2 linked regions of the Oreochromis niloticus genome follow. Each later gene encodes a partner of the first gene's protein in a complex. Links are inferred from orthologs where the notes say so. Each region holds a gene or a part of one and is shown on either strand. Other genes may lie near its edges. The genes, in order: ap1g1 and ap1s1.

Region 1 (16,643 bases):
TGCTGAGAAACACAAATGAGGACGTGTCCCTAACATATCCTGGACGTTGATAGAACATTAATCTTGTACAGAGGACAACTACTACCATCTGGTTCTATGCCTCGAAATCTTGGGCCATAATAGTGTGCCTTGATAGTACTGCGGGTCTACTTTTTGTGCACTTAAATATTAAAAACCCATGACTGACAGTCACTGGCCTTCAGCCTGACTGCAGCTGTTGTTGGGAGGAGTTAAAAATGCCAACAAGGTGCCAAGGAAGCTAAAGAGGCACCTGAAATCCTGACATACCTTCAGAGAGAAATTGTCTCCACTTCAGCAGATGCTGGATCAGAACCAGAGACAACAAGACTGCCTGTTGGATTGTGTATGACAGAATCTGATAAAAAGAAATCCACAATTTCTCCAAATCAGATTATAGTGGAGTTTAGTGCAGCCTATAGTAAAGCACAATAAGAACTGAAGGCATTTTGCTCAAAAATACCTTCATCTGACTGCACAATCAGAAGAACTGATGATATTCCAAATGGGGCTTCTTTTATAGGTATACCTTGACATTTTGTCCTGCCTTGGGCACAAAAAGAAAACAATTCTGAGCAACTGTCTCTACCCATATATTGTACCCGGCATATGAAAGCTTTATCTCCATAGCAACTTCGTTACAGCATCTGCTTCTGTAGTGTATCACAAGAAGGTATAAATCTTTTAACAGAAGTGGTTTCACCTATAGCTGAAGGTCCATGGTTTGATCATACTTAATAAATGTGGATCACACCATCCAATAAAAATGCAAAAAATCTTGAGATTATTGCAGAAATATAACACGCTAAAGAAAACAAAAACCTATAATCAGAGCAAAACAGATAGAAAGCTGTCCCAGAGAGTAAATGATTGAAACCATTCTACCTTTTTCTACTCTGGGGGTGCGATCAGCTTGAGGAGAACTTCTTAGCAGATTCATCTGGTTTTATATGACCCATACAACAAGGATTGGGATTCATACAAAAGCAGCGAGACAAGCCCAGTTGCATATATGCACGCACATTTACTTCACTTGCATCCCAACCCCCACTTTTTTTACACACATATACACTCACAGATACATGCTAGCTGTTCCGACAGCCATGCTGCAGTCCCACGGGGGTAGCAGCCTGCACTGTTATCCTCCAGCTAACTGCCTAGCTGCTCCATTTCTCTCTCTCTCCTTCAGTACCACCCACACACTGAACAGCCTGGCTCGCCCTCTGTCCTCCCTGCTTATATATGGAGCTCTGACTACTTCTATATCTTTACCATCAGCTCTGAGGGGGAGGATAAAGCTTTGCACCATGACAGCCCATATGTAGCTCATTTCACTTGCCGCGATGCCACACTTTATTGTACACAGCGGCTCTTTTTGGCTGCAGGATGCGATGCAATCCCTTCACTTTTCTTCTTATTACACTGGACTCCGCAAACGTTCATTCAACTGCCAGCACTGCTCCTTTGGATGCAGTCTTGGTGAAAACTCCTCTGGCATTCACACATAGGAACATCACCACTTGAGATAGCGAAAATTAATGATAGCTTAAAATCCAATTTTCTTCCCTTGTGTGCTCCCTCTCCATTTACACAGATCAGAAGATGGGAGAGAGAGATCCTGACTTCAGTTACCTGAGACTGGCAGAAGTAATTACAGCATTCATCACAATCCTGAGGTACTGTGCACGGTGCACAGACACACACTTTCTCTTTTATTGTGTGTGTGCGTGAGCAAGACAGAAGTATAATCTTAAGGCTAGTCATTTGGCTACTTGTGAGAAGTTGGTATGTGAACACAGTTTGGGCACTTTTCCCACAGAAATCCAAGCATTCGTTAGAGTGGGTCCGAGTATTGAACTGTGAACTACTACAACAGGCTGGCTTCTCGGCGCATAGCCAATGATTGATGTGTGAGAGATACCCATCCCCCCAACGCTACGGTTCTGTCTGTACATCTGTCTCTCCTTGCTCCCCCCCGCCGCCACCATCACCACTACCCACCCTCCTCGCTCCCTCAGTCTCTAGCACTGCGATGTTATCTCTGAGTCTGTGTGTCTGTAGGCAGGAGGTGACGCAGTGTCTGACTGAATCCAGACAAAGAGACAAACTCATCAGCCAAGAGACACACACAAGAGGGAGAGGGCTGGTAGGGGGGGGAGGCCGGGGGTGGTAGGGTGACGGAGGGGTAGCGCGCAAAACAAAACAGACAAAAGACAGAATGCCAAAACTCTACTCAAACACAGAGCAATGGGGGTCCTGCTGAATTCAAAGGCCCCTCCTTCTCCTTTTCAGCAGCCATCCCCTCCAAAAACGCACACATGCAGACACACAACACTGTCTGAATCTGCAGGAAGTACTGGGGCCCCCCCGTCTTACGTCCACAGACTTTCAGGAGAACACGGACGGTGGGCCAGACATCTGATCAGTTCTCACCCCGAATAACCACTGACCTAATATTGCAGAAAACGGATGGAGATGGAGTGATTAAACACTTTTCTTAACAAAAAATGTTCACAACTTAGTTTGCTCCTGACTAACACAACAAAAAGTGATCGCTCCATGTTTAGATTAGGATTTTGATTCAGCTACAAGACTAACAAACACCTTGTAGCCACACGAGACTCAAAGCTGGATTCATAACAGCCCCCCCACCCGAGAACTCAATTTCATATTTGGATCAACAATACATATATAATGTGAAATATTCTGAAATAACACCTTATTTGTTATAATTAATACTAATAAAGGTTTTCAGAACTTCTACATTTAGGTACAGAAAAATGATGAAACCAAAGCCTCACATATACCGTTACACAAATATACTGTACTTCCCTGACAGGCATCCACTTGACACCACAAGGGTATGCACCACCACCTCAAAACAAAATACTTCTTGTGTATTGTTGTACATCAAACTTAACAGCTAGACAAACACCGCTGTTGTATCATTGTCTGGAATTCCCTGTGTGTGTGTGTGTGCGTGCGTACTACTGAGTGTGTGCATTTTTGCGTGTGTGAACATGTGCATGTGTGTCAGCCCGCCTGCCTGTCAGACTGTCTCCCTGCCTGTCTGGTCTGTCAGTCTGTCTGGTCTGACCCACTCAAAGGGGACAGCTCTTTGAATGCAATTCATACCTCACAAGAAAAGACAGGTAAAACAAATCATGGTGAGGAAGAATGAAAGTTGGTGTACAAAAGGTGTCCTTCTGCACTCACACTCACACTCTCGTGTCATGGATCTGGGTAAAAATTAAAAAAAAATATATTATACAACAGTCTCGGGGCCTCCTGAGGCCTTTCGCTCACTCTCAAAGGTGTTTCAGAGCAACAAATGAGCTCATTAGCTCACAGGGATGACTGCGGTCTGCAGCAAGTGTGAGATGTATTTCTCCAGCAGTTTGAACAAACTATCTTTAGAAAGGAGGGTTGCAGCATTCTTCAGTAGATTACACTGGGCAATCCCCTTCAGTGGACAAAAACTAGCATAAGATAAGAGGTCAGCAGGCTAAGCACTGACAGGAGCATCCTGGTAGAAGATGAGTCACCAACAAAATATCTACATTAGAGGGTCTCCCAAGAGCTCCTGAGATCTGCTTCAATAAATTTATCTTTGCTTTATAAAAATATGACACTATTTTAAAATAGAATTTGGTCAATAAATGTCAGCAATCCTTACTGTCAGCATGCATTACACTTTAAGCGACCAGTAAGCCCAAGGTCCCTTCTTTAAATGGAAGAAATTTTTATTTAGCTAAAATATCAAACAGATGAGCAGCAAACCATCACAAATAAACAACAGAAACCAGATGTTTGTTTATTCAGATGATTGCTTACCATTAAAAGAAAATCTTAATTAAAATCTTAAATTATTGTTTGGGATGGGAAACTAAGATGTTGAATAGAATTAGAAAGTAAGCATGAAAAGAGCTAGTGTAGCAGAAAAATATTAGATGTATCACTCAATAAAGGAAGGAGAAAGAGGGAAATAACAGAAACACTCTTGCATACAACGCAAGGGAAGTCTTGCTGCTTGTGTGCTCAGTAATGCTCTCCTGCAATCTTGTCCTAAATCTGAGCTGTCAGAGAAAACTGAATCAAGTGCACACATAGCTACTGTTTGTACAAGCTGAAACCTCTGTCCCTTCTGTTCATGGTTTAGTCATAGGTTTTGTTTTGTTTTTTAAAAATGCCTCATACTTTCTTTTAAATGAGCAGATAACTGACAAAAATAACATCTCAAAACTGAACCCAGAAACATGGTTAGCCACAAGCCTTGATAATTAACTGAAAGATTCTTTCACACAACATTTTTAGTGAATATAAGCTTATCGGCCTTAAAGGAGAGATATTTATAAAAAATATTTTTAAGCCTGTAATCAGCACCAACAAGTGATAGCGGCTACTTAAATTATTTTTAAAAATGTACCAGGAGTGTGCTCTTTCACATATTATGTAACAGATTCAGTTATTTATCATTACATGCTGCAATAGTGTAGCTTGCATTATTATAAGCTTGTGTGCCTGTATGTGCGTGAGTACTTTGGTAGGTGTTTGTCTGTCTGTGGGTAGCCTGTTGTTGTGATTTGGCACTGTATAAATAAAATTGAACTAAAGTGAAAGACAGTGCCAACAACAGTACTAATCACAGATACAAAACTTTACAGATGAGATCTAAATGAAGCCGAGTTTGAGATTGTGTGTGGTGCGGCTCCCCGAGTACTGAGTATTTGCGTTAAAGTGTAGTAATGCCTTCTGATCACCAGACGAGGTTTTTCCTGGCTCAAAATTGGCCTTTTGGGGATGATGCCACATACAAGGCAAGAGTATTGGGTATCTTACATATCTTAGTTATTTTTAAACAACTGATAAATGAAAAAGCGAGTCAGGTTAAAGACTAAATTTAACCCTGCATAAAAATGGACTAATAGTTTTATCGCTGTGCGGGTGGTTTTTCTGTGGTGTGGTGAACACTAAAATTATGCTGGAAAAACCTTGCAAGACGGTCACTATTGATTTTCTAGTCTGTTGAGTGCATCTGACCTGAGTTTGCTCTCACTGTATTTATGGCCCATTTTATGCCTGTTTCTTTTGTTTTCACATACCTGTAAATAATAACTGTGGTCAAATTAGACCTAAATCAGTTATTGTTAAAAACAAAAATATTAGGGCTAAGAAAAAAAAAAGAAAAAAAGTGGGACCGCACTAAGATTGGATCAAAGTGGCTGCATCACCCGTCAACACGCTGGCATTAAGTATGCATGGTAGTTATTACTGCATTATTACCAAGCATGATAGAGTAGCTATTATTGGTTTCTACTTGTGATTCTGTGTGCGTCATCATGGTAAAATGCACCATAGAGATACCTCAAACTGAATTTCAAATATGCTGACAGTTGTTTGTATATCTGTCTGTGGGCAAATTTTGCCAGTGCAGTAATGTGACAAAAGCTGTGCGAGGTGCTGACATAAAACTTTACATATGTGTATTCTTCAGCGAAATAACGGTTAAGTCAGAAGATGGGTGTGGTCCAACTCATGAGTCCTGAATACTAGTACTAATGAGTCTAAATGTCAGTATACTGGCATGTGTCACAACTGGTGTGATCCCACTGCAAGATGGTCTCTAGTTATAGGACTACTGAGTACTCATGGGCTGGATCACACAAGTCTACCAGCTTGGCGTCAACTACAAACCTGCCACATTTCATGGCTTTATCTGTTATTTTGGCAAAACCTGTTCCCAGTCATACAAATTTTGGCACGTTCCAAAAAGGTTTTGGCCTTCAATATGAAGAAAAAGTCACCAGGACTGTAATATTTAAAATAAATAAATAAACCCAAACCTCAATGCATGCACAAAAGCACCTGCCAAATTACTCAAAACTAATTCTGTGGTAGTTCCTGCAACAGTAGGTGTCCTGGGACTGCATTTTTAAACGATGATACACATGCATATCTTTGTGGACAATCTTCATAGAGTTAAAATACTCCCTAACCCCTTACCCTCACATTAAACATCACAATTAAAGTGCTAACCCAAACCTACCTCTACCTCAAAAAATAAAAAACTTTTGAACCCCAAACTGCCTTTTATGGGACCCTAAATCGTGGTTCTTTAAAAGCTGTCTGGCAACACAAATATCATTAGTTACAATGTTTATATCCTACAAATATAGATAAAACAAACAAGCAACACACACACACACACACACACGGAGATAGAGAGAGAGAGAAAACTCACAATACTAGCCTCGTAGCTGGTAGTAATTCAGCGTGATCATGTCAACCGACCCAAGTATACACGGATAGCGCAAGTGTCATCAATAAAACTCGTGAAATAGTAAGAGAGACAATACCTGAAATACCTACAGTTAACTTTGAAGGGGTTGGTCTGTTTTCGCCTGGACATATTACTGCCCAAACCGGTAAAAAAAAAACAACTGAAAAAAAAAAAGAGAATATCCTAACCCCGGACGGTCCAAGTATGTTCCGGACAGAGGGAGCAGATGATGAAGAAAATAATAATATTAAAAAATCAAATCGTTTAGATCAGAAACTGGGTCGTTTTCGGAGATTAAAAAAATAAAAAAAAAATCGGGCACATTTAAGAGTCACATTCTTGCGGTCTTTTTTTGTGTGTCTTTTTTAAAAGCCCCTTCTTCAGCCGATTATCGGGTTAAGATGATGTCCAAGCCCGGACAGAGAGACTCCGAGCAGCTCCGAGCTGCTCCGATCCCGATCCGCTGGCACCCGCGCACAACTGCAGCGCAGCACGAGCTCAGCTGATATCTAAACGTAAAAGGAATGAAGCTAACGTCGAACAGCATTGTGGGATGTGTAGGGACGCAGGGGAGTTCAAGTGAAAGATACTATGCTGCATTCAGGTCGTGTGGGAGAAAAAAAAACCCGACCATGTTCAAATATCAATTTAAAGTAAGTAAGTAAATTGCTGTTGGCGGTTTTGACGAAGCAATGATTCCTATTTAACTTTATAAGCTCTGTAAGTACGTAACTATAACCTGACAATGACACCTCAACTAATAACTAATAAATATTCATCCAAGGACCACTCAGCACACCACACCCCCAATAAACACTATCATAAGAACTCACCCGCGCGTCTGAAATCTACCGAAAATAAATAAATAAAACATAAAAACAAACCCATAATCTGTGAGGACCTTAAGGGATTACTGTGTCAAATAATATTCTTAGGTTAAATTATTGTTCTAATCATATTCTTGTATTATGAATATTTTTATTAAATAGAAATGGGAAATTAATGTTCAAGCAATTATTTTGCACTTACACATTTGATAAGTCAGTTACACTTTTGAGTTAATGTTGCCATTAGACAAAGAGTACAAACACAACATACAACAGGAAGCTGCATCCTGTCACAGTGACAAAGTAAACTTTTTTCCTGCTGTATGGCCAAATGAAGAAACTGACAACATACAATATAAGTCTTTTATTTTACACAATGAAATTATGTGAGAGCGGTTGGTCAGATGGATGAAAAAGTATTGTGGCACAGTCAGACCGTCTGGTTTAAATAAAGATTAATGACAGATCTGAGTACATTTCTCAAAAAGTACTGAGGCTAAAAAAAATTGGAAAAGCCAACCTAAATAACTAACACTCATTCATTTTATTCCACTTTCCAATTCTGAGTCGCAGGTAGCCACAGTCCAGGGAGTGTGCTAGGGACCCATAGGAGAATTTTTGCAATAAATACATTCAATTTGACATTTTTAGATAAACAGGGATATATTTTTAAGCTTACCACCGAAGTGTATAGATAACCCTATAGGATAAAAGGTACTTTTATAGGCTAAATAAAATGATCATCCAGTCCTTCACTTTCCTTGACTCCTTATCTAATTTGAGATGGGAAGGGGGGCAGTTGTAGCCTATCTCAGTCATAGAGTCAGGGTATACCATGGACAAGCTGCCAATCTATCGCAGGGCTAACCCATAGAGACAACTATTCACACTCATATTCCCGCTTGCAGCTAATTTAAGATCACCAGTGAATCTAACTCCATGCATGTCTTTGACCTGTGGGAGGAAGTGAAGAGTTTTCAGAGAGAGAACCCCCCATACAGATGTGAAAAGAACATATAAAGTACATCCAGAAAGGCCCAGACTGAATTTGAACCAAGAACCTTCTTGCTGTGAGGTGACAGTGCTAATTCAAATAAATAAATAAAAAATACATGAACATTTACTTTTTAGAATAAACAAATATATTCATAATAAAACTCCAAGGACATGCATCCACTGATTGGACACTGACAAAGCTGAGGGTATTTTTCTGTTGCAAAAGCCTTACAATTTCTGAGCCTCTCGCCCAGTTTGTGATACTTTTGTGCTCCCTCTAGCCATAATAGGAAGAAAAAGTAGTGCTACAATTGATCATGACACTTGTAATTTCATTATAAACGCTCTCTCTAACTGCATATCCTACAGTCAACACTAGATGTCGCTACAAACCGTTGGACTGTCAATGTCATAACATTGCATGTAGTCGTCATCACTGACTGCCACGAGTAAACTGACCGCAGCACCACATTGACCGGGTGAAAATGTACTCTTCCGCACGCTCAAGCGAAAATATGCCATCTCAACAAAATAATCTCGTCAGGTCATGAAATCCCCTTTGTAAGGCAAGTGGCAGATGACACACATTCACACGCAAACAGCACGTCACGTTATGCACAATTATTTAGATATCCAGTCAGTGAGTACAACAGGATAACATCAGCTAGCTGGCTAATGATAACAAGCCTAACGTTAGCCCATTATAGTTACTGTGAGAACGATGGAAGCGAACAAGCCACACAGCAATTAGTAAATGATAAGAAAGGGTTGAGTACAGTCACCTACCTACATCTCCCATCATAATGAAGACATAATTCAACTATTACCCATGTTGTCCAGTGAACATATGAGGCAGGAGTCTCGAGTAAGGGGCACAGACTGTGATTTAGTCCTCCTGTACAGCTAACGTTACTGTACGCTGATGATAAACTTGAGCTCTTCTTTCGCGAACCCCTTGCGATCTGTCAGTGTAACCCTCCGCCTGCGGTAGATGTGCTGAGGCTGGAGTAGCCACCATTTTGCATGTCTAGTGTGTTCCTCCCTCCATTGCTAATAGAGACGATTCCAGTCATTTTCTGGCATCATTACGGCTAGTAAGTACATCCTAGCAACAATATGTCGGCATAAATTTGGGGAAATGGCTTTACGTGTGAGTAGTTGTCCGCGGTTTGACTGTATTTACGTTGACAACTGTCACTGTGGCGCTGCATAGGAAGTCGCAGCCCTTAGTGCACCGGGGCTGTGCTAAGTTAGCTAGCATGTTTAGCATAGTTATAGCCTTGCTGGACTGGGGATGTGTAGCCCAGCAGTATGCTGTGTCCACTAAATCAAAGTCATCAAGGCAACGCGCAGTGACAATTTGGTATTTCCTGTCTTTCTAACTAGCGGGCACAAGTTGCATTTAATTCAGAGAGTATTCGGTTAAGGTAATGAAGAAGCAAGCTAATGGTCAGGTAGCTACGCTAGCTTGATAATCCAAATGCTTCAAGAAGGCCTAAACTGCATTATGTCCTGATCAATCGGCGATCAGAGTCAGATGTAATGGCCTGCCTCTGATTGTATACAGCCGATGATGTAAACTTTAATGTAATACAGCGCCAGCTAAGATGAAGCTACTCCTGTAGTGTCATCATGATATCTTGCCCTTTTAAGATGCTACTGAATTAGCTAGTTGTTAGCTGGCTCTTCAGAGGTGTGATTTGCGTTTTCTAAGTCATATTAAGCATGTGACGCTTGACGGCGTGGTTATTAATACAGTTAGACTTTCCTAATATTTAACAAACTGTAAGCGTTTAATCCATAAGTTAGCGTTTAATTGAAATACCAGGGAAGCTAACGATAGCTAGCTTGGTGTTTTGAGGACGTGGACTTGGGTTTTTGTCCAGTTTCGTGAGATGGTTAATTAGTGTTGACAAGCTGTTAAATGAGAAGGAAAGACTTAGACACGCGCTTTTTTATAACTGCGTTGTCAGCGTCCGAGTTTAATTCATCTTCCAGGATCAGTTTGCATGTAAGTGTTAAGGAAGTCAGGTGCAAGTAGGAAGTGAGCAAATGAGGTGACGTACAGTATGGGTGATTTCTCTACAGTTTTTGACAGGAGCTGTAAATTACGCCTCCACAAGCTTAGGTCGAAGTAAGCTCTTCAGGTCCACTGTTTGTGGCAGCGACACACAAAACCAATCTTGGTAAACTACAAGCCAGGTGTAATGCAACGCCTTTCACGTGCAGTTTACTTTATCTGTACGCTTGATGTGGGCTTTCGAGAGATTCGGGACCAACTGTACTGCTACGGTTGAAGGCCTAATGAAAATGAACCTGTTAAATGTATAATTTTACTTTCCTCACCGTCAAGTCACACGCAGTACTGTAGATTTCAGCCATATTCAATTCCTACTGGCTTCACTTTGTAAAACTAAATATGGAGTATGTTGTCCTGCATTACCTTTTCTATTTACATGTATTGTCTGTTACATGGGATAGATGGGTGAGAGTTAACGATAAAAAAAAGTCATATTTAGTTGTAGCAAAGGAATAGCCAGGATGCATTATTATAGAATGGTGCATAATATTGTGCTTGAAACATGCAGTTATGACCTTAATTAAAAACACTTAACCGTTACCTCTAATGGCAGTGATGCCATGCATAAAATGTACTTGAGTAGGTGCATTATAAGCAGGGTTAGCGTGCATTAATCACACAGCACTGAAGCAACTAAACATGATCACTGTGTCTGCATATCAGTGCCCCACACAATGTGAAATCAGATAGCTCCAGGCTTTGCCTCAGGGCTATTTAAGATCTTTTGATGTATTTCCAGTTTAGGATTCATTTTGACTCCACATTAATGTCATTTGGCCAACCTAAGTCCTGAGTGAGTTAGCACTGCCTCGGTGTCTTGTTTGGACAGAAACTGATCAGTCTTTATGGTTTTACTCTAAGTAAACAGCCACACAAACTTAGTGATAAATAAGGTACTGTAAATGCCATTTGTTATTTTTGTCTCTTTTCCTCCTCCTTTTAGCATTGGGGTCGTTGTACATTTTGCCTCTGATTAGTTTTGAACAGGAAAAGCTTACCAAAGACCCATTCTAAGCAGGGCTAGTTTCCAGCAGGCTTTGTCAATTTGCAGGCTGACAAAGCTAAATTAAGAAGTGCTTAGCTTAACTGACTCCAACTGATGGTGAAGGCACACACGGATCTTTGTATATCTCCTGTGTAACTTCAGAGTCTCTGAATTTAAAGTTGATCTCATTATTGGCTCTTTGATGGCTGTTTTGACCATCAGTCAAAGAAATAAGCAATTTCTCTATTTTCAGTGTTGTTTTCAGCAGGTTAAGAACTTCTAAGTGGTAGAAGAAAGGCGTGGTAGCTGCAAACAGTGAAATGACTATTTGCAGTTGCACATAGATGTAGAAATCACCAGGCTTTTTGATCTCTGCATGTTTGCTAAGAGAGGAAAACAAAATCTGGAAAACCATAAAGGTCTGGAGTGTGTACATGTAAAACACCTGACAGAATATTTTGACTATTACGAGCGCTTCTTCCCCTGTGCACAAGTACAGTACTCAACATTTGAATGTGTACATAGGAACCAGGGTGTAAATGTAATCCATGTCAAAGCTGATACTCATGTTTGAACTTTAGTGTTGTGTAGTATTATCAGTTATTTGTAGCTCTGTAAAGCCGAGGACCAGCCGAGTTGGTTATAAAAGAAGCAGTAGAATAGTCTGTGTTGGTATGATTTAATTTAGAACGTCTTGATGTCTAGCTGAATGGTTAGAGGAAGAAAAAAAAACAAAACCTTATGCAGTCTGCCAAAGTTTGCCAGTCACAGCTCTGTATATGGTTCTTTTGGGAGCTGTCTGACCTTTTTGTCTACTTTAAATGTGCAGCTCTTTAAAAAAAAAGGGAAAAAAGACAGCATAAATGGATGTTACATCATGCTTTCTATTTCTATCCATACCATGCTTGTGGCATTTAGGAATATGATGTAGAGCCACAAACAAACTAAAAAAAATTAAGTGGTGCTTTGTGTCTCGATATCTTTAGACTGATGTCTCAGAGTCGACAGGGTGACTGCTCCCTGTGGTAAATGGGAAGTGTTACGTGCTTTTTAACCTGTTGCTGGTTGTCAGACTCTTTGAAAACAGATTTGGGTTAGCTCTTCTATGAACGTTTCACAGTGTATGCAAAACATGTCAGCAGATGCATGCGATAACTCATAGTGTTAGGCTTTTATATGGTCTGGGGAGTGTAAAAATGTCCAAAGCAATCTGGATGCAGTATAACAGGTGTTCTTCTTGTATATAAATATTATCACGGTTTATCCTAGCTCGAAATGGGCCTTTGAGGGGTTGTTGCCTTACAAAATAGAAGTTGCTCCATTTTCTTGTTATTTCTGGTTATTTGTTAAAGGAGAAAACAAAGTATGTGTTTAGTAAATTAAGCCTCCCGAAACTCATTTAAGGCCAAAAACCTTTGATAAGAACAGAAACAATTTTACAAAATTTGGTCTTTGTAGTGAGGAACAATAAAGTGAACTAAAAGCTGTTGCTCGACAAGTGTTGAACAACCTCGCTTCCCCACTGCAGTTTCACATTCATCTGTGGATGAAAAGGCAAACTACACTGTTCATCTGAAGGCAATGTCAGTAATTTGCAATTAAAATTGATATTGTTTTGTTTGTAGAAGAATGTGCTGCTGTTTTGCAACTGCAAGAATGTGAAACTGTAATTTAATCAGCTCTCAGCAGTGGCTGGATTTACGTTCTTTAATGTGTACACATTTGATTATGAGCACAGCAAGAGTCGGGGAGCCATGATTAATGGAGCCCAACACTGGGTCCATTCAGTGCAGGTAATTTAAACGGTGTTAAGATGAACAGTAAGTCTCTGGCTTTATTAAAGTGTGGCCTTGCCTGACCACCCTCCCCATTCCTCTTTGATCAAAGTGAATTCTTAGATTGTCCACAAGCCACCACCTTACTCAGCAAAGGATGTCCTCATTCCTCCTGTGTGTGTATCCTTATTTCCTTCAGACTGGCATAATTTCAGAGGATTTCCTTTGATCCCACAAGTGTTGGAGTTAATAATGAAATGTTAAGGAGTTTTTTCCCCCTCTTTATTCATTCAGATGAAAAAAATCTAGCTTGCACTGAATACTGGCCAATGTAATCAGGTATATTGAAGACAGATGTAAAGTTTGTATTTGGTTACATAAAAGCTTGTTCTAAACGGCCAGAGATTGTACATTTCTTGTTACACTGACAACATAAGATTTCCATAAGACATGACAGAGCTGTTGTGGATAAATCAGAGGCTTGTATTTCATTATGTGTTTGTGTAATGATTTAATAGAGCCACACGGTTGATCTGTTTTTCTTGTTTCATACAGTGTCACTTATGGTTCATTAAGATGTTTGAGGAGGAAAAAAGTCAAAAACTCAAAAGCAAATACTTGTCATGACAGCAGTAATCGCCTCTGAGGGATAAATTCTCTCTAGACTACAAAATGAATAAAAAATACGTTGTGTCAATATTTTATAAAACTTCTTTTTTCCTACTGGTATGAGATTGTTTATGAAACAAAATTATAATCATTTTTGTATTGTGAATGTTATTAAAATCCTTGTGTTTATCAAGATCGGCTATTTCCAAAAGTCAAGAGTGCTGTGGCCCACTTAAAAACCAGCCAATCTCAAATCTTCAAAAACAAGCGAAAGGCTGTTGGCTGTAAATTGGTAATGCTAACCAGTCATATGCAGGCCAATGTGTGACAAACCTACCACTTGGACACAAACTTAAGTGCAACTTAAATTAATTCACTTACTTGTACTGCAGTCCACCTGCAGTACCTTCACAGCCTAGCAGCGGTCCCTGGCCCACACTTTGGGAATCGCTGATCTAGACGATAAAACCAAGGAAAGCCTGTGACTTCTAACCATCTTTTTACTGTATCCTACTCGGTTAAGGTTGTAGAGATTATTTTATAAAGCACTAATTGATGCAGTCCCACATTTAGAGGACTGACAGGCTCATTAAACTTGCTGTTCTCACCTTCTGCAACAGCGGTGCACGCCAAAAGTGACGTCACATCTGCTGGCGCGAACCGTGCTTTTGTGTTTTGGCCGGTCATGCACTTCTGTTTCTGTAGCTTCAGTGTTGAAAACACGAATTTACGATCATGTGGGTTTTTTTGTTTGTTTGTTTTTAACCAGCAGTATAATATTGTATCAGTAAAGAAGTTCGTTTACAGATTATACAGAGGGAAATGTTGTATCAGTTTGAATGAGGCTTTCAAAGAGAGTGTGAGGAAAAGGAGTCTGTCTTGAAAAAACTTTGGAGCAAAAAAAAAAGGAAAAACTTAAAGATGTCTTTTTTTCCCGATTTTGACAACTTCTCCTCCTGTACCAGTGCTGATGTGAAGGTTATGTCTGAAAAAGAGGAGTGGTGCCTCAGTGCATGCCTCTGGCAACACGTATTGTATGTGGAATATTGCATCAAGTACTCACGCCCTCAGTGCTGGTGTAAATGGTATGGAACTGTGGCGAAGTCACTGTTTGTGTGCAACACAACCAATACAGTGATTATTATGGGTCCCTGAGATTGTTCCTGAAAAATGTTGTGGATCTGCTATGCCATCAGCTCTTTGCTCTGGTTCATATGTCAGAGTGCATTATGTTCCCACTTCAGCACTGCATAGCTGGAGTTGGATAGAGTTATGGCTTTGCTCATCAAGTAATTACCATCATTTCTGTTGCAGTAGAAGCTTAATTATGTCCTGCATCCTACCAGATGAAAGCTTTCCATTAGATGGGAGATAAAATGTACCTATTTCTCAGTAAAACACCACAATTAATAACTTTCCAGTTTATTTGACAGTTAAAATGTGTTGTTACAAATGTGTGGTCATTGTAAAATTACCTGAATAAACCAAGTTAAAAACTTAAAAAATTTAATGTTCTCTAAAATGTTATTGTGTTAAATTAAACTAGCCTGAGCATATTTTCCAAGCCTCCCGTCTGCTCCAACAACCTGACATTTGCTGGGCTGCATATTAAATAAATTGAACTGACTTTGCTCTCAGTCTCTGTGCTGTAGTAATCATTAAACCCCGGTCATTTAAGATAATTTACTCACTGGTACAGACCAGAATAGCTCTCTCCTAACATGTTAAAAAAATCTCCGACCCTGCCAACAAAACAGTGTTCTGTGCTTGTATAAAATGAAAGTATACTTGATAAAGTATGGATAATATCCTGGTGAGTTTCCTCTGGAGGATGGCAAAACCTTCCCCGAGGTTTGTTGCATTGGCTCACAGCTTTCTTGTAATATTCATATTAATGTTAGATTTGCCTCATTGAAGAGTTCATTTAACATGCAGTTTGCAATTCATGTTTTCATCTTTGTAGCTCTTGGATCTGTTTTTGTAAAGTGTAGTTTCGGGTAATTGGTAGATGCAAACACATAAAAGTTGATTTTCAAGCAAGCATGTGCCTTCATAAATATTTAAACATCTTTCTGTAGCTTGTGTTTGCTTAGAAGCTTCTTTGTGCAAGGCTTAAATTTCACCATTTCTTCTTTGCCTTTGCACTTTTATTTTTTTTTTAAAAGATCTAAACGAATGAGACACAGTTTCCACCTAAAGTCAAATCTTACACAACATGATTTTAAAAAAAAAAGTCTGTTTTACTGGAAAACTGACACATACTTTTTATTCCTAAAAACATAAAAATCCTTTTGTTATTCTTATCCCAAGTAAAATTTATGATTGTAGTTTCAGCGAACATTTTAGGAAGTGAAGTCTAGACTGTTGATCGGTACCTGTAAAACCTACATTTCTGCATACATGCACAGCAGCTAAAACCCTTTCTTGGTTTCTAGCATACGTTGTCATATTTTAGGTAAAAAAGTGACATACCATGCTGCAGACTGGAGAGTTCTATATTTGTCTTAAATTTCAGAATTGTAGCTTTTCTGTGTTAGTGTAGTCTGTTCTGATGCCAACTGGTTTCCTTTCTTTGTGTTTTCCAGAGAATGCCAGCTCCGATCAGACTGCGGGAGCTGATCCGGACTATCCGGACAGCACGGACCCAGGCAGAGGAGCGTGAGATGATCCAGAAAGAGTGTGCTGCTATCCGCTCGTCCTTTAGAGAGGAAGACAATACGTACCGTTGCAGAAATGTCGCAAAGTTGCTTTATATGCACATGTTGGGCTACCCAGCGCACTTTGGACAGGTATGTTTGGTTATGCTGGGAGGGCAGTATGTATACAAAGGAGTTTTAAGTTTGCACCTCTGAATAGTTTGATGACGCGTTTTTTTTCCTTTTAGTTGGAGTGTCTGAAGCTGATTGCATCCCAGAAGTTCACTGACAAACGAATAGGTTATTTGGGAGCTATGCTGCTTTTGGACGAGAGGCAGGATGTCCATCTCCTAATGACAAATTGCATTAAGAAGTAAGTGGAGGCTACACTGGGTTAAGATGCGCACACACACTTAAATTAAAAAAAAAAAAAATGC
Region 2 (17,363 bases), on another chromosome or scaffold:
GAGTGATTATTTTCTGACTCATTCAAATTTTTGGTGTCTGAGCAGCTGGGCTGTAGTTACATGGTAAGGTTTTAAAACTGAGCTTCAAAAAGTGTTGCAGATGAATAGTAGTAATAAAAACCCAGACAGGTCGACAGTGATCACGGACTATTTTTAGTGGCTTGTTCAGATTAAACAGAACAAGATGCAAAGCATTAAAATGTGCCAAAAACACGTTTGGACCCAGAAGCAGGGTTCATACGCCATCAACTATTTTCTTCCTTCAAAATAGTTCACATGCAAATCAGGAAAATCACATTAAGATGCACATATCACTTACACTGCCAAAATATTTATCCAGCAACTCTACGAAACGGTGTATAACTTCGAGTGTGATCAGCTCATTGTCTTGCTCTTCAATGGCACAACAGAAATAAAGGCTGGCATACCTGCAAGACAATATACACAAAAGCAGAAACAATTTTAAAATCCTACATTGCCTTGTTCTCAAGTTATCGCCTTCACTAGGATTTACAGAAAACTTAACCTCTGACCTTTATGCTAAGGTCACTGAGATTGAAACTCAAAGATTCACCTATGGTATCAATTTGAAAACCCAATGTCGCCTCGTTCTCAGGTTAACAGACAAACCAACGAGGCCGCAGACTGCCTGCTGTGAGATCCATTTAAGACTTTCTGCCTCAAAATTCGTCACAGATTTTTAAAAAAAGAAAAAAGAAGAACAAAAACAAAAAAAAAAAATTGTACAGCGTACAGTCGGACAATGACAGTTTACCAGACCTTTGTAGGGCTGCCAGACAGCACAGAGCAAGCATGCAGAGTTCTTTCAGTCCAATAACCTGTGTTTGGGTGCTGGCCTATGAAGTAGCATCTGTGTTTTAATCAGTCACTCATCCCCCCTGACCTTGTTGACTTGCCTGATTTTGTCATTTGCCCACGGTAAGTGGGCAAAATTATTAAATCCTTAATTCTGCTTTCTGTTTTAAGTGCATTGTTTGCCAAGTTGTGTTGTAACATCCAATTTGTGCTTGAGTTTTGGTTATTAACACATCAATATCTCAATATTATATCAATATCCCAAAGGCGTTCTATTGAATTAAAATCTGGTGACAGTGGGGACGATGAGAGTACAGTGAACTCATTGTCATGTTCAAGAAACCAGGTGACCGGTGACTGGGGGAGCCATCATCGCAGGATGGGCACACTGTGAGCATAAGGGTTGGATGGGGTCAGAAAAAAATACTTGGGTAAGATATATTTTCTAAATGATGCTCAACTGGTACTAAGAAGCCCATTCAACACCTGCCTGAACAATTCATAGAATGCAGGATAGCCCCATGCTTACATACTATTTATGCCAAATTCTGACCCTCTCATCCAAACGTCAGATAAGAAACTGAAGTTCAACAGACCACACGATCTTCTTCTTCCCTATTTTGGTGAGCCCGTACAAAGGAATGGCACCCAGTGTGGTCTGCTGCTGAGCTAAAACCACTCATGAAGCCAATCTAAGGGAGGGAAACAGTGAGAAAAGGCTGAGGTACGCCAAATTACACAAGAACTGGAGAGAAAAATCAACAGGTCTCATGGTGTGATAAATTCAAATTTTCTACCACACCTTGGCTCATGTGATAACACATGATTAATAGTGGGTCAATGACCACCTCCTAAGGATCCTAGTCAGATGCCTGAACCAACTCAACTGCCTCCTTTTGATGTGGGGTGGGGGTGGTGGCTCTCAAAATGACTGTACTCTTCACCTGATCTGTAAAGGCAAGGCTAGCCACTCTTCTGAGAAGCCAATTTCTGTTGCTTGTATCCAGCATCAGTAGGGCTGTGCGATATGACCAAAATCTCATATCCCGATATTAAGACATCTATCGTCCGATAACGATATAAATCACAAAAATGTAACATTTTCTCTAAATTCTGTGAATCTTGGGCAGCTTGACTTGCGTGAAGTGTTTCCAGCTGGGCATCGCGTACCTGGAGTCGAGTCTTTTAACTGATGCATGAAACAATACATTTTTAGACATAGGTTGTAACGGCCGCCGTTTTCTTTGTGAGTATTTATTACACAGCGTGCTGCGGGGAAAAGCCTGTTCTAACGTTTGAGTCTAAGGTTTATTTTTTAACACCTGACGGCTCTTTTTTGCTTCTCATCTGTAAATACTCTGCATCTTTCTCGTGATTCAGTTTATTTTGAAAAGTCTCAACAGGATCTTGAGCTTTATTGTGAAAGGTTTATGTGGAAAATAAACAAGCGGACACGCCGTGGTTTTACCGTCGTTGTTGCTAACGACAACGCATAAAAACAAGCGCTTGTCCGTCTGTAATGTGGTTATATTAAATATAAGAGAAAGAGAGAACTTTAGGAAATTAATATAGCCACTACAGTGACCATCAAAATAATCAAAAAATATTGCCATAAACAGTTTATTTTGCAACACCACGAAACAAACGATAGCGTAAAATGAAACGACAGACGTTTTTATATCGTCATCCGATATATATCGTTATATCGAACAGCCCTAAGCATCACCATCAATGCAGCTGCAGCTCAAATCTCCCACTTCCCTTACTCATGAACAACACCTACTTTAACTCAGTCAGCAACTCGTCCCAGCCCTAATGGGCACTATGACCTTTTCCAGCTGAGAACCAAGGCTTCAGATTTGGAGGTGATAACTGTCATACCTGCCACTTACCACTCTGCTGTGAGGCACCCCAGTGATCTAAGAGACCACTCCATGATGAAGGCCTGTATCATCCACAAAAAGCAGAGTTTTTTCTCTGCTTTTTGAGCAAAGATGGAGCCCTTCTGCTACGACTATAAATTCTGTCCATAAAAAAAAAATCTAAACGGCATCAACGACAAAATGCAGCCTTGGCGAAGCCCATCAACCCCTGTGAGTCCAACTTAGTGCCTGCAGTACAGACAAAGCTCTTGCTGCAGTTAGACAGCAACATCCTATACTTCAGCAGCAGCCTCCAACATGATACCCCCCAAGGGACATAATCGAATGCCTTTTCCAAGTCCACAAAACACATGTAGACTGGGTGGGCAAACTCCCACGCACACTCAATTATCCTTGAGCAGATAAAGACCTGATCAAGCATTATGTGCAAGGAATTATTTCCACTTATTTTATTCCATTTATATTACTAAACATCAAGCAAAATTGCCATTGGTACAGACTTTTCTCATGCCAATTATAAAAAAAAAAACTTTTAGCACCAAATCACAGCAACAGTTGCCTCAAGGAGAAACTCCCTTTGAACAGAAAGAAACATCCAGCAGAACCAGGTTCAGGGAGGGGGAGCCATTTACCACAACTGACTGGGGGTGAGGGAAGGAAGAGCAGGCAAAAGACAAGTTGTGGAAAGAGCCAGAGGCTAAAAATAACTAGTGATTAAATGCATAGTGGTATATAGAGACAAGATGAAAAGGAGCAAAGAAGAAACACTCCGTACATCGAGGGAACCTCCCAGCAGCTTATTGGTCTGCCCATAACGGAACCGAGAGTAGAGACCGAAACGAAAATTCCCATAGTCCGCAATAGTCCAGCCTACAAGTGATAAATGTGTGAACTAGTTTTTCAGCACTCTGAAGCTGTGTCTCGATTGAGGGGCTCCATCCTTCGGAGGATCCGGCCTTTGCGGTCTATGTGGGCCGGGTCCTCCAAAGACCGAGAAAGCCGGAAGTGAGCGTTTGTGAAATTGGACAGTCTAGCCTTCAGATTTGCGTCACCAGCTGTCTCGGTGGAGTTTACTAAACTCAGCCGTCTGCTCCTTGCTATCTAAAATATAATATGACATTGGCGTAAATTCTCTACCATCTCACACTTCTGTTATTCAGTGTTATGTTTGATGTATATTGTAAAAAACTTTCACTTTAACCTCAGCCAAACCGATTTACTCAGGAACAAATAAAACACTGAAAAAAGCCAAACAATAACATTTTTAAGTTATCTGAGTGACTAATATATCATTTCTTCTGATGTGAGAGTTCTCAAAAGGAATAACATCTTTCTGGAACTCTGTTGTGTTATGGTCGGACCAAAACAGTAGCCCGACCATAACACAAACGACAGTAGAGACAATATAAGCTCCTTCACCGTAAACGGAGCTTCAGTAAGAGCAGAAGCTGTTGCAGTTCTTACGGGCAACCTTCAACTTTGTATTCAGGAGCCCAGACGATATCTGGATGAGGAAATGATCAATAGATGGGAATTTCATTTATCATGTATTCCATGGTCATCATGTTGTCTGTGTTTATTCCACAGTTGTTGTACCAGATCTTTGGCCCTTGTTGTGTAGGGAAGCAAGAATTCAATCTGTCCATGCTGGCATACTTTGTCAGTGTAAAGACATTCAGCTACAAATTTAAATTTCAACAGCACATCTTACTTTTTCTACATGACAACATTACAGAAAAAGTTCTGGTAGTTCACTGCCCAGACTGTCCTGTATTTACGAAATGGTTTTGTTTTTTTGATTGATGAAAAATGTTTTGTTTATTTTTGGGAATGAAAATTTCCATAGTAGATAGTGAAAAACAGGAAAGTTCCTGTCAATTAAATGTTTATGCATTACTTTGGTGTAGCATGAATGGCTGTAGAGGAAGTCTTTATCAACAGAAAAAACTGTTAGAAATTATTATTATTAAAAAAAAAAAAAAAAAAAAAAAATACAGTCAAAAGTTCAAAAATCCATCACGTTCCAAAGACTTCCAGTGGGCTGAATTGGTGTTTTTGCTGGATTGATTCTGGACCCCGGGCCTTATGTTTGGCACCACTGATTTAGTCTAGTGTTAGACTATACTTGTAGAGGGGATGGTTTCTTTAGTGATGGTCAAGGGTGGTTCTGTACCACATAAGATGGTTGTTGTTTCATGCAACAAAGTCTCAGGGACAATGCTTCTTTGGTGTAATTTCCTTCCCTTCACCGCAGCTGAACTTGTCTGGTCTGTTAAATCTCAAACCAGCCCTTTGCAGGCTGGTTTGAGATTTAACAGAGATTTTTTTTATCTTCAGTAGATGAATTTCCTCTGGAACTGGCATGCATGTCATGAGGGAGTCTAGCAATAAGTCTTGAACCATGTGACTGCAGTTCGATGTGGGCCTTTTTCTCCAATTGATATAGTATGCCTTCCAAAGCTCTGACGCAGAAAAGCAAATGTTCTAAAGCTTGTTGTGTCAACACTGTGGACTCAGCCATTAACTCTGCTGGGTGTGGCAAAGCCAGCTGACGTGGCTGGCCATAGTGGGAAGTAGGAGAGGCCACTGTGTCACTATAGGAGTATGCAATGTGTGGGGCTTCTTCAAATTTCAAATGACTCATAAGAATCTAATAATGTAACATTCAACAGAAAGACCTACTGCATCTTCTAAATTAAGTTGTTTTCCTTAGGCATAGCTGGTTTAAGTCCTTAAGAGGTGTTCTCCAACCGGGGAAGTCAAGGGAAGCAGGCCAGATTTGTAGCAACGTGCCCTGATGGTAAGAGCTCCTGGCAGTTAAGGCAATGCAAATCCAGCCCATGGCCCTGGTCATCGGGGCCACCCATATTCCTCCACTGATCACTGGAGCTCTGTAGTTAGAGCTCAAGGACAGTAGTTCACCCAATTTGCCAATGCAGATTGTTAGTTCATCTACTTGTTCCACCAGTGGGGGCTGGGCTGGCAGTGAAAGACCATCTACCACTGTGGTGGACGTGGGCCTATCGTCCCCATCTATACGAAAGCAGCTTCTCTTTCCGACAGACATTAATTTTGATGAAATACTCAAATACGTACAAATATGTAATTTTCCTTCCCACGGTTTCTTTCTTGGAGACAAAGCACTGCCACATCTCATCTTTTTTACATGTTTAATACTGCGTTACTAACATTCCTTTTTAAAATTTCTAAACAATAAAGGCTACTGCCTAAATGTATCACAAGTAAATGAACCTGAGAACCTGGCACTGGGATAAAGGCACTAGTGCATTTCTTTACAGTTTCTTGATAATTAGTGAAAAATCAACAGCAGTTCATAGCATGAAAGAAAATGAAACTGTAAATATGTACACTAGAAGCAACTGTCAGTAACATTAAAATGAGAAAAGATGAAAATAGTGTAAAGAAAGTACCACAAGAAGCAGGTGATGCTGTGATGAGTACAAAATGCAGGACTGCCCATGGCACTTTTACCTTTTATAGACAATCTTGAGGTCGCGCCATTCTAGAAAACTGCACATCTTTGGTTTGCGGGCCAACACTATCTGCATCAGCTCCCTGACCATCTTCTTCTTGTCACGCTCAGCTGTGGCTGTGTACCACTTCTGCAGTCGCAGCTTGCCCTGCCGGCTGAACAGCAGCATGAAGCGCATCTACATGCAAAAAAGACAGTACAGCATTTATGAGAACATGTATTCAATGTGTAAGTATATGTCAATACATAAATGTGACAATTACAATTATTGGTCCAGTACAGGAACTTTTCCTGTTAACTGCATTCTTGTGACCAATTATGAGTCACTTCATCACAGTTTTTTATACTTTGCTCTTTTTGTAAACATTATTATCAAGTCTGACATCATTAATCATTTCTGTGATCAAATGCTCTTTCAATTCCCAAAAGCAAAGAAATACTGGGACGTCATTAAGAGTTAAATATGGTCAAAATTATTTCAGCTCCAATAAAATAATCAGTGCGCCTGCCCAAGTGTTCCAACATCATGACAAAGAGGATAAACAGGAGGGCCCTCCTATTAATAGAGGCAGATGCCATTATATGGTAGGAAGAAGACACCAAAAACAGATAATTTGGTTAGTTATCAACATCTTGCCATGTGGTCTGGATTACTTGCTTAGAAAAAGTTCTGGTTCAAAGTTTAATACACAGTGAAATCTTAGTCAGCCCAAGAGAATCAAATCCTTGGTGACCCATAAACCACAGTGTACACTGAGTTTTTAGAAAATTAAACCATGTCAACAGTGCACATCTTTTAGAGCACACGGCAGCTCGTGTCTGCTCAAATAACAAAGCAGCGCACCATGTTTGAAATCCAGCACAATAGATGCTTGGACTGAGATGTGCTGCATTCAAAAATCAAGTCTATGACATTTTGTGAGACTTTAACTTGTGGTAAACATTTCAGTAGACATATACTGCAAAAAAGAGAAGAGCATGCCAAATTGTTTTCTCAAATGACAATAAAAAAAAAACCTTTCTAATCTCCACTTGGTGTCTGATTGTTATCCCATATCTACTTGGTCCAAGGGAGTGTCACAATGGAACAAGTAGGGAGTTAAGCCAGCATTATAATCTAGCCTTTTTAAACGATATAATGTTAAAATGAACCAGTCAAACCAAACAAAGAAATAAAAACAACTTCAGGGCTTTCTATAATAGGCTATTTAAATTCCAGTTCACTTATCCCATGCCCTCCAAATCCCTCAGTTGATTAATGCAATTTCTCTCTGATACATCCCGAGTACACTACTGAAAAAACACAAACTGCCAGTTCAAAAGTAGTAGGTGAACAAAGTGGAGCACTCAGAAGTTGAAGAGTCAGTTACCTTTTTCAGGTGCTGGGAAGACTGAATTAGGACTAAAAGCAAAATTAATAATGAATTTGGTCACTAAAGACCTGCACTAGGACGACAATCTTTATATATTCTTTTTGAAAGTCTATAATAACATAATGGCCATGGCAAATTTACACTCCTGTTGTATATGGCGAGTGTTTCATCTCATCATCCTATGCTGTTTTCCCACGCCATACTGGCAAAGAAAAGGGAGGAAGTGACATCAAATGTCTATAATATTTTGGTTTGATATTACCTCCAGACATAAACGTCATGTATTGCATTTAAAGCACTTAAAGCAAACACTTCAATCACATAATGAAACCACAGATATAAACTTATGCTGTAATGTGTATTACAGGTATTTTAAAACTTTGCAGACATGGCAATACTAATCCAGCATATCACTTATTATGTTTACTTCCATCTGCCTGCTACCAGTCTACAGTCTATTTGGCAGGCATGACTGTGGGAGGTATGGTTTCATAAAAGATGAATGTTATTGTTTCATCAGTCTAGCCAGTAACAGATGTCACTGTAGCAGGTAATATTAAGATCACCAGTCATCTGGCTCAAGGTTTTGGCCATACAGAGTTCCAAAAACAATTGAGCTGAGGTTAAGCACAAAGTTAGCCACATAATGAAGCCTATTTCATTACTTTATGTAGGCTGGCAGAAAGTAACAAGCACGCCATCACCTTCGTTGCTGACGATAACTAAAACCTAAAGATAAACGAATTACCTGCAACGAGGGCAGTCACACTAGTTTGTCCCGTGTCTGTCATGCTAAAGTTTGACTAACATCACACAGACCACAAGCTGCACGAGAGCTATATACAGCGTAAGAAAGATGAAGTTTCACAGGTTATGCTGGCCTGTTAGCTTGCAAGGCTATGCTGACAGAAGCCAGGTGTAGTTAGCGCAGGTGGTGACTTCCTGGAATCATACACCTTGATAGCATTAGCGTAGCATACCCTCCACATACACTTTTCCCTGCAAGTGAGACGTAATAACTTACCATTCTGTGGGGGTTTTAACGTTTGTGTCTCGTTACAAACGGACTCTACTCCCTCGTTGCCCACTCAGACCTACACCCGAACTAATGCCGAAAGTTCATTCCCGTGTGAGGTGCTCAACTACTGCGCTTGCAAAAAGCGGAAACCCTTCCACGATCGTTGTTTCTGCCAAAGCGCTTCCACATCCGAGGAGCATGCGCACTCCGGCACGTCTAACATGACGTTTATGATTTCGTCTCACTTCCGGAGGGTTCGAATGATTTTACAGTGTATCGACTTTAGTGTTACATCCTCACTGTGTATGACTGCGGATACTGACTCCCTGGTATAGCTTTCAAGTACGGACCTTAAAGCGGATAACCCGTAAGTTAGAGGGGAAATGCCATGTCACCAATTTAGAAGATCTCCATGTTGCCTGGAAAAAAAAATCTGCTCAAAAAAAGAAGAAAAAAAAAAAAAAGAAAATCGGTAGGATTTTTCATCGTCATCATTCATTAAACACCGAAAAATCCCAGGTTTCTCTTCAGCACTGTCAGAGCTCTGCTGAGTCAAGCATTCCTTTAACTTTAACTTCATTAATTTTTTTTAAAAATGAAATTTTATCTATTGAAGAACAAATACTCACAACCATAGACATACTATTATTTTAAGCTACTTTAAATGTCATTTATATTTATTTATATCTGTCTGAAATAACTTTAGTAATGGCTTCCTCCAGGTCATCAACGTGTCCATTAGACCCCATTACCCATTCTTACCAACTGCTCAAACTATTACAATTAGTAAATGCTTTAATCTTGAATATGATCATCTATCTCTATTAATAGGCTATGTGCAATTAAGGTGGCAATAATTAAACTATTACTTAAAAAGCAGTCACTTGATCCAGCTGTCTTAGGTAATTATTGACCAATCTCTCAGTTGTCAAACAGCTGACAGATCATCTGCAGAGGAATGGTCTATTTAAAGAGTTTCAGTCAGGTTTCAGAGCTCATCCCAGCACAGAAACAGCTTTAGTGAAGGTTACAAATGGTCTTCTTATGGCCTCTGACAGTGGACTCATCTCTGTGCTTGTCCTGCTAGACCTCAGTCCATCGTTAATACTGACCACAGTATTTTATTACAGAGATTAGAGCATGCCATAGGTATTAAAGTACGGCACTGTAGGGGTTTGAATGATATCTGTCTGATAGACTCTGTTTTTTCTTTCATGTAAATGGAGAGAGTCCTCTTTACACACTAAGTTTAATTATCCAGTCTTTAAGTGATGACGAGATGAACCAAACTGGGTTCAAACTACTCTGTGTTTAATAAGGCTGTTGTGTTTTTAGTTTTAAAGTTTTTTTTAAAACTTTAATTTAAAGTTTTAATTTTTTCTGTTTTGTTCTATTTATTCTGAACGAGCCCCTAAAATGTCAGTGATCACTTTCAGCCTCTCTCAGTTTTTATTACCACTGTTCATTTTAAAGCTCAGTTTTTAAAACCTTATGATGTAACTACAGCCCAGCCCATGCAGCAGTATACACCCTGACCTTGTATAATGTGTGTGTAGGGACCAACACATACACTGCATTTAACCCATTCACCCAGTGAAGCAGTGGGCAGCCACCAATGCAGCACCCAGGGAGCAGTGTGTAGGGACCGTACCTTGCTCAGGAGTACCTCAGGGTAGCCGTTCAGTGGATTCAAACCCCCAACCTTCCGATCATGGGGCAATCACTCTACCTACTGAGCTATCTCTGCCCTATCCCTGAAGTTTGGTCCGTTTACAGCATCCTGCCATGCGATTGCATTTGTCCCTAACCATCGGGAACCCTCACGTTAACTTTTATCGAGTGGAAAAAAGTTTTATCCTCCAGCTTCACTGTGATAATATGTTTATATCATGCTAACCATAACTGTGTTTTAATTTTTTCAGAAATCTCTCAGTCAGAACATGATATATCATGTTTAGGTGGAAACTAGCGAGCTAACTTCCTGCTAACATCTAACTCCGTTAAACTTCATAAATTCTGTTTTCACAGATGCCTGGTACATTAATATGTATCATTGACAGAAGGTTTGGGTGTGTCTCCCAGCACACTCTCAAAGCATGAAGGAGATTTTAACAGAACCGCTCCTTTGTCACAGTAGGAGCAGAATGAACACTTTTTGGAGCCTTTGAATTCGGCCCTCTGTAGGTTGAAAATCTTCATTTCCGTTGAGATTACATATATATATATATATATATATATATATATATATATATATATATATATATATATATATGTATACATGGAAGTTAATACATGGTGTCACCACTTTTATTCTTCAACACAGTTTGAACTCTCTTAGGCAAGATTTGTGATTTCTTTAATTGCTCTTCAGGAATAATCTCTAAATTTCTCAAAAGACCTGTTGAAGCTCTGCTTTGGCTGTTTTTTGCCTGTTCTGTGTCAAGATAATCCCACACAGATTCAATAATGTTGAAGTGCAGGCTCTCAGTGTGTTCCACTGGGTGTTTATCTATGCTTTTTACTGCATTGGCGGTGTGTTTGGGATCATATGATGCTGAAAAATGAAGACCTCTTGCCTCATTTTCACTCCAGTTCTTGTGTAATGTTTCCCCTTCTTAAGAATGGCTTCCTGACAGGTTTTCTTTGCTTTGGTGAATCAGTGTCGGGACCCCACCCCACCCCTATATCTTGCTTTCAGATACTGTTTATCTACTGTAGATAGATACAGATTTTTTTTTAGACATGCTTTTGTCTTCCACTTGTCTAGTTTCCTCAGTCACTGCACACCATGCTTGGTATTTCAAGTTTTCAGCTAATACCTATTTTGCACCTTAATGGTACAAAAATGCTGTTTCATGCCAAACTTATGTTTGGCAGGTTTAACTAAAGAAATGGGAACATAACATGTCTGTTATGTGTAGACACAATACTGATTTGTTAGATGCCTTTTGATGCTTGAATCAGGGGGAAAGCAGAAAAAGTCAGTGTTAACCTTTCAAAGAACTGTTCAAAGACTGCAACATTGTAAAAAATATAGTAGTTTAATAAATATAAGCATAGTGACAGAAATAAAAATGTAAGAACAAAACAACCAAAAAATATGAAATATAATTTTTTAACAGTAATATAAAATAGTAATATTAAAATATAACTCTTTATAAATACTAATGCATCAGCGTCCCTCCCTTTCAATTAAATCACTATCTTTTGTATCAGAAACAGGTGAAATACCTCATATGTTCACTTTCCTTTATATCGCATTATGTTTTATCAGCCAGAAACATTCAGAGAAATAAATAATCTATAAAGAAATATTTTTTTAAACAAAATCTCTTTCAATACTGTTCTAAATAAACTTTCCAGTGATTTAGTTTGCAGTTTCAAATATGTCATCTGATTTAAGTAGTATATGTCAGATATGTCATCCATTCGATGGCCATTATGTGGAATTTTAGTAGTCTCACGCAGAGAGTGGGCTCAGAGTGGGTTACTGTTGAGGCTGGTTGAAGTGACCCATGAAAAGAACAGCACCTAAACATAAAAGGGAGAACATTAGAGAGCCACCCTACCTGGATGATCAGCAGTCTGGTATTGTAAAATTGTATTCTAGTGAAAGGTTACCTGTGAGTTTGTGCTGGATAAGGAAAAGGAAAGGTCGGTCTAGAACGATCTCCTCTACTGCCATACGAGAAAACATGACAGCAGCTAAGAACAATGAAACAGAAAGGGGGGGAAAGGTCAGTGTTGGGTTTATGTGGGGACCCCATTTGGACCCCTTACATTATCTTCAAATAGTTCTCCTGATACATTTTTTTGTTGAAAAGTATTTGTTACAATTTGATTAATCACAAAATATGATTAAAATATTTTCTCTGCATCTATAAATCAATAAGACCTCTGCTTATGTTGCCTATTTTCAATATCCCCTTTTAGCTTACATCATATTATGTTTAATACTTAGACAAAATTTAAAAAAAAAAAAAATCAATTGTATCGCCTGTGCCACAAATAAATATATATAGAACTGAAAAATGAGGGTACCTGTTGATGCTGCTCCTTTGGTTCCCTCTTCATTCACCTCAATTTTCAGTTTTTGCAGGACCTTTGACACACACAGCCTTTGATCCACTAGAGGGAAAAACACAAAAAAACAAATGAATAAATTAAGAATAAAAAATTAGATAAAAATATGTTTGTTTGTTTTCATTATGTAGTTTTTTTTAAAACCTTCATTTTTTTTATCTGCTTATTTATAATCCGTCATTAAGGCTTAAAATGCTTCAATTTGAAATATGGACCGTCTTTATTGACAGGTGACCACAGGCTTTTAAGGTGGTTTTAATTAAACCATTACTTTAAAAGGATTTTATTTCTTCATATGTATATATATATATATATATATATATATATATATATATGTATATATATGTATATATATATATATATATATATATATATATATATATATATGTATATATATATATGAACCAGTCTTTCAGAGATGATCACTCAGTTTTTTTTTTATAACTGCTCTTTCAAGATATATGTATATATATCTTGAAAGAGCAGTTATAAAAAAATACTGAGTGATCATCTCTGAAAGACTGGTTTATTTAAAAAGCTTTAGTCAGGATTAAGAGTGCATCATAGCACAAAAACAGCTTTAGTGACGGTCATGAGCTATCTTCTCACAGACTCTGACAGTGGACCTCATTAAAACACCACTGGTGTTAAACAGTTCAGTTGTTTGAATTGTATCTGTAACACACTCCAATTTGTTCATGTAACAACACAGTACACTCATGACTCCAAGTTTGTAAGGAATCTTGGAGTCATTGCTGACCAGGATATGTCAGTCAGTGCAAACAGTAAATGGACTGGTTCTTATATAGCACTGTTCTATCTACCTGAGCACTCACAGTGCTTTACTTGTCTCATTTACACAATTCATATGCTTAAGTGCTTTCTAGCTAACATTCACACTTAATTATACTCCAGTGGATGCATCGGAGAGCAACTTGCGGTTAGTATCTTGCCTGAGGATATTTGGCATACAGACTGGGGTAGCTAGGGATCAAACCACCAACTTTCTGATTGGTAGATGACCTGCTGCACCTCGGGAACTACAGCTACCCCGGAGAGATGAACATTTAACAAAAAGGTTGACTTACAGGTGATGCGTGTGAAGTCTGCAGAAGCTGGGTTGAAGATGTCTCCTAGTCCCATGTTGACTAGCGCAGTCTTCAAATTCACCTCAGAGTCCAGAGTAAACCTTCAAAATACCAGTCTTTCAGTTTCTTGTGTTTTCTTGTAATAATCAATATGAAACAATATAATTTATTGTTAGCTCCAAAGATACACTCTGACCAGCTCTCTCTTACCTAGGCAAGGCCAGCTGCCTCTTGACATTCCTCAGCTCTGTCCTCCACTGTCGGATCTTCTGGCTGCTCAGGTCTGCACTGAGCTTGCTCAGAGGAACTTCAGGCTCAAAGGGAGACACCAAGAGCATGCTCAGTAAGTCTCCCTCATATGGGACCTCAATCACATCGTAATCCACTCCATCAGCAGTTACAAACTCTCCTGTTAATTGAGGGGAAAAGAAAGGCCTTAATAAGTAAATACAGATAGAGACTTTAGTCATCTGTGGAACCGTTTGATAAACAAGTGCAACGACGTGGCCCACCATAGTTGAAGCGGTTGGTGATTCTCATCATGTGGACTGGCACAGTGCTGCCATTGGCACAGTGGAACATCCTCTCCTGTGTCAGTTTTGGGTCAAAGGGAATTTTCCAGAGGCCCTGGAAGTGGAGCGCATTAAGGAGGACGAGGCGGGTCTGATCAGTCAGAGATCCAGATTGCAAGAATTCAGGGATAAGACCTGCAGAACAGATGACCAAACAATTTCAAAGATGGATGCAAAGATAGATGTCCGCTTAAATCAAAGCTGATGGAGGTTTCAGAGGGGTTTGAGTCTGCTATCTGAATATACCTGCAGTGTGATCTGAGACCCATGCATTGATAACGCTGATGGCTTGGTCTGGCTTTGTGAAGTCCACCTGGTGAGGGTGGGTCTTGAAGGCCTTGGCCAAGTTCCGGTGATATCTCTTCTCCAGATTCATCTTCCTCTCCACCATCACCCCGTTGGCTATTTCTACCCCCTCCTCAGTGGACAGGCCCTGCTGCAGAAGCCACTGCTGCCGAAGCATCCCTCGCTCTGCGGGAGTAAACCATAGGAGGCTTTTTTTCAAGGTTATGGTCTTGACATGCTCTAATCTACCAAATTCACAAAACTAGTCACCTCACTTGCAGAAAGATAAAAACTGCTCCCTCTACTGTTTTTTTTATCTTTCTTTAACTTAGTTACAAACTTCCTATTGGAAATGTTACAGTATGTGTAAACAGTAAATAATGCCATATTGTTGTCCTGATGCTAAAAACTTTATGGATGTAATCTCATTATTTCCTGTAACCTGTTCCTGTTGCTTCAGTCCCACTTTGTTGTCTGGATCTATATGTCACTCACCTCGCAGAGAAAAACCCATAGCTGTAGTTAAGGCCTTGCTGGTGTTTCCGTTTGCACCAAGCTGAGCCATGGCCAGAACAGAGGCCACACCATATGGGGACAAGACCACATTCTTGTCTGTAGACCCCTGGGCCAACTGGTAGAAGACCTTCAGCCCAAAATCAGTCTGCTTATCCTGCAGAGAACTCAGTCCTACTCTGCTCAGAGCCAGCACCAGGAAAATATATACGCAAAGCATTCTGGAAAAGAAAAAATACAGTTTCATCAAATATGAATAGTGGTGATTCAATATGCAGCAGATACCTCTGTATCTGACAACTGCAAGTATAACCTTTCTACTCAAACAGCTTTTCTCGCAGTGATTGTACACTACATCACTAAAACTGATACATTCTTAAGAAACAGATTTTGTATCCATTTAAAGAGGAGTGGATTTTTGTTTAACCGCTGAACCTCGTGTCAGCAGATCCTTTCCAATTCTTAGTAAGAAACTGCACTGGATTACACAATGGTACAGAGAAAGTTTAAGGAGCTGTCAAAAGGTGGCCATAAAATGATGTCTTAAAATAATGACTGTAAAAACTTGCATACAGAAAGGCTCAAGAGTATGAAAATAAATAAAAACCGAAAGAAAACATGTTAAACTGGTAGATGTAAAAGAAAATGAATATATTAGTCCACTCCTAGTGTAGATTTCAGTCTTCTAACTGGGCTTCAGTCAAACACTGACTCAGGATAATGAGATTTAATAATAATAAACTTAATAATAATAATTCAGGATAGGATTTATAACAGAGTCAGTTTGTCCTTAGGAACTGAATGTAAGTCAACATAATAGACATCTATATTAAAAACAGCTGTGCACGTGTGATTGACGGTGTAATTTATGGATGCGTACAGGATCAACTGAAAACTACTTAAGAGGCTAAATTACACTTTATTGTACTAAATAACAATGTCCCTTGTAATTCCTTGTAATGCTGTGTGTGGCTGTATGTATAAGCTAAAGTCTGAACTGTCAAGTTCAGGTCCTTACCTTGTAGCTGGGATGTGTCCAGTGTAGTATATCAGAGCCCTGTTTGTTCAGGTTGGATCTTCTCTGCTGCTCCCTGAGTTTGAAATACTGACAGCGCTTCATCTATTTATACTAAAAGACTGCCCCGTCCTTTGCACACACATAAACACACAGTGTTGGAGACGATGATGTCATCTGACACTGTCTGGACAGACTTCCTTTTCATGAACACACATGTCCACTCACCCTCCCTCTCACTTTTTTCCCTGTCTCTTTTTCCAATTTATCATTGAGGATATGGAAAGTCGCTTAACTCTTTCCCCACACGGACACACACACACACACACACACACACACACACACACACACACACATTAGTCTGTTCTTCCTGCTCATGCTAGAGCAGTTAGTCAGAGGTGAATGCACAGTAATGTTTCTCAATCACTGATTTTTTTTAGAATGTCTGAATGTAATAAAAATTGCTTGCTGACAGGCAAGTGCTGCACACTCGAATGCTCTGCATTTTTCTACAGGAAATATGGCGTGGAAGTAAATGTGCTATCTGTTGTTTGTTTTTCTTTGGAAGAATATTTTTGACTTCTTTTAACCTGTCACAGGTTAAAAACATATATAATCCAGTGCTGCAGTGAGTGGTATACATGCTCATGTGCTCTCACTTTGGGTGGTCATGCATCAGAATTCCAAATTTGGTCACAGCTTTTAACATTCCTTATCCCACTACTCACCAAGCATCTGGTAGACAGAGATTTGCATTTTACACACTTTTTCCGAGTCTTTCTACTGAAGCTTGTGGCAGGCTAACAAAATGTAATTGAAGCCACTTGTTATATAGAAAAAAGCAAAACCAAACAGCTTCCTGGACCTGATTTTGTTGTGGAGTGTTTAAATATCCATCACTAAGAAACAAAGAAACAAAAAGGACTAGAAGATGTTAAAACACTGCAGATACCCAGGAAACACAGAAACTACCAAACTGCACCTCTTAATCATTAGAATACAGTGTCAACCATTTTCCTAAAAGGTAGGACCAAAACAATCTGTGGATTATCCAGAGTAACAGAAACATAAGAATCACCAAAAATACAAAATAAGTATAAAATAAATAAATACAAATGGATACAACAGCCTCTTAGAACATCAGAAAGAAATGAGATCGATTAAAAGGAAAACCTTGGACTCCACTTTCAGCGCTGTCTGTGAACGAGCACTGCTATTTATTTT

The links.
Region 2: the proteins of ap1g1 (region 1) and ap1s1 are in contact, whole or in part, in a crystal structure (PDB 1W63), measured with the Mus musculus proteins. The link is inferred for Oreochromis niloticus from reciprocal best matches to the Homo sapiens genes AP1G1 and AP1S1. Residues at the interface, in NP_001288140.1 of Mus musculus: Leu7, Arg8, Ile11, Arg12, Arg15, Leu54, Tyr55, His57, Met58, Gly60, Tyr61, Lys78, Phe79, Thr80, Arg83, Ile84, Leu87, Met90, Leu91, Asp94, Glu95, Thr115, Phe117, Leu123, Cys124, Gly127, Cys128, Tyr152, Lys155, Lys156; in NP_031483.1 of Mus musculus: Met1, Leu14, Arg15, Leu16, Gln17, Lys18, Trp19, Leu21, Ala22, Thr23, Asp25, Arg28, Lys29, Arg42, Lys45, Met46, Cys47, Ser48, Phe49, Glu51, Lys56, Gln74, Asp75, Asn76, Glu77, Leu78, Ile79, Leu81, Glu82, Leu83.

What each region holds. Positions count from the first base shown.
Region 1 is NC_031965.2:21,842,566-21,859,208, reverse strand, and holds the start of ap1g1 (AP-1 complex subunit gamma-1), read left to right. Parts: upstream 1-8,580; 5' UTR 8,581-8,687; intron 8,688-8,907; coding exon of another isoform or gene 8,908-8,923; exon of another isoform or gene 8,924-8,948; coding exon of another isoform or gene 8,949-8,952; exon of another isoform or gene 8,953-9,215; intron 9,216-16,155; 5' UTR 16,156-16,158; coding exon 16,159-16,359; intron 16,360-16,454; coding exon 16,455-16,579; intron 16,580-16,643. Other genes in the region: znf821 (zinc finger protein 821), read right to left, coding at 6,388-6,427. UniProt on the Homo sapiens protein: Subunit of clathrin-associated adaptor protein complex 1 that plays a role in protein sorting in the late-Golgi/trans-Golgi network (TGN) and/or endosomes.
Region 2 is NC_031967.2:1,992,991-2,010,353, reverse strand, and holds the start of ap1s1 (AP-1 complex subunit sigma-1A), read right to left. Parts: upstream 8,795-17,363; 5' UTR 8,593-8,794; coding exon 8,590-8,592; intron 6,371-8,589; coding exon 6,192-6,370; intron 429-6,191; coding exon 320-428; intron 1-319. Other genes in the region: serpine1 (plasminogen activator inhibitor 1), read right to left, coding at 12,071-12,114, 12,205-12,288, 12,625-12,711, 13,755-13,855, 13,965-14,163, 14,267-14,461, 14,573-14,797, 15,107-15,344. UniProt on the Homo sapiens protein: Subunit of clathrin-associated adaptor protein complex 1 that plays a role in protein sorting in the late-Golgi/trans-Golgi network (TGN) and/or endosomes.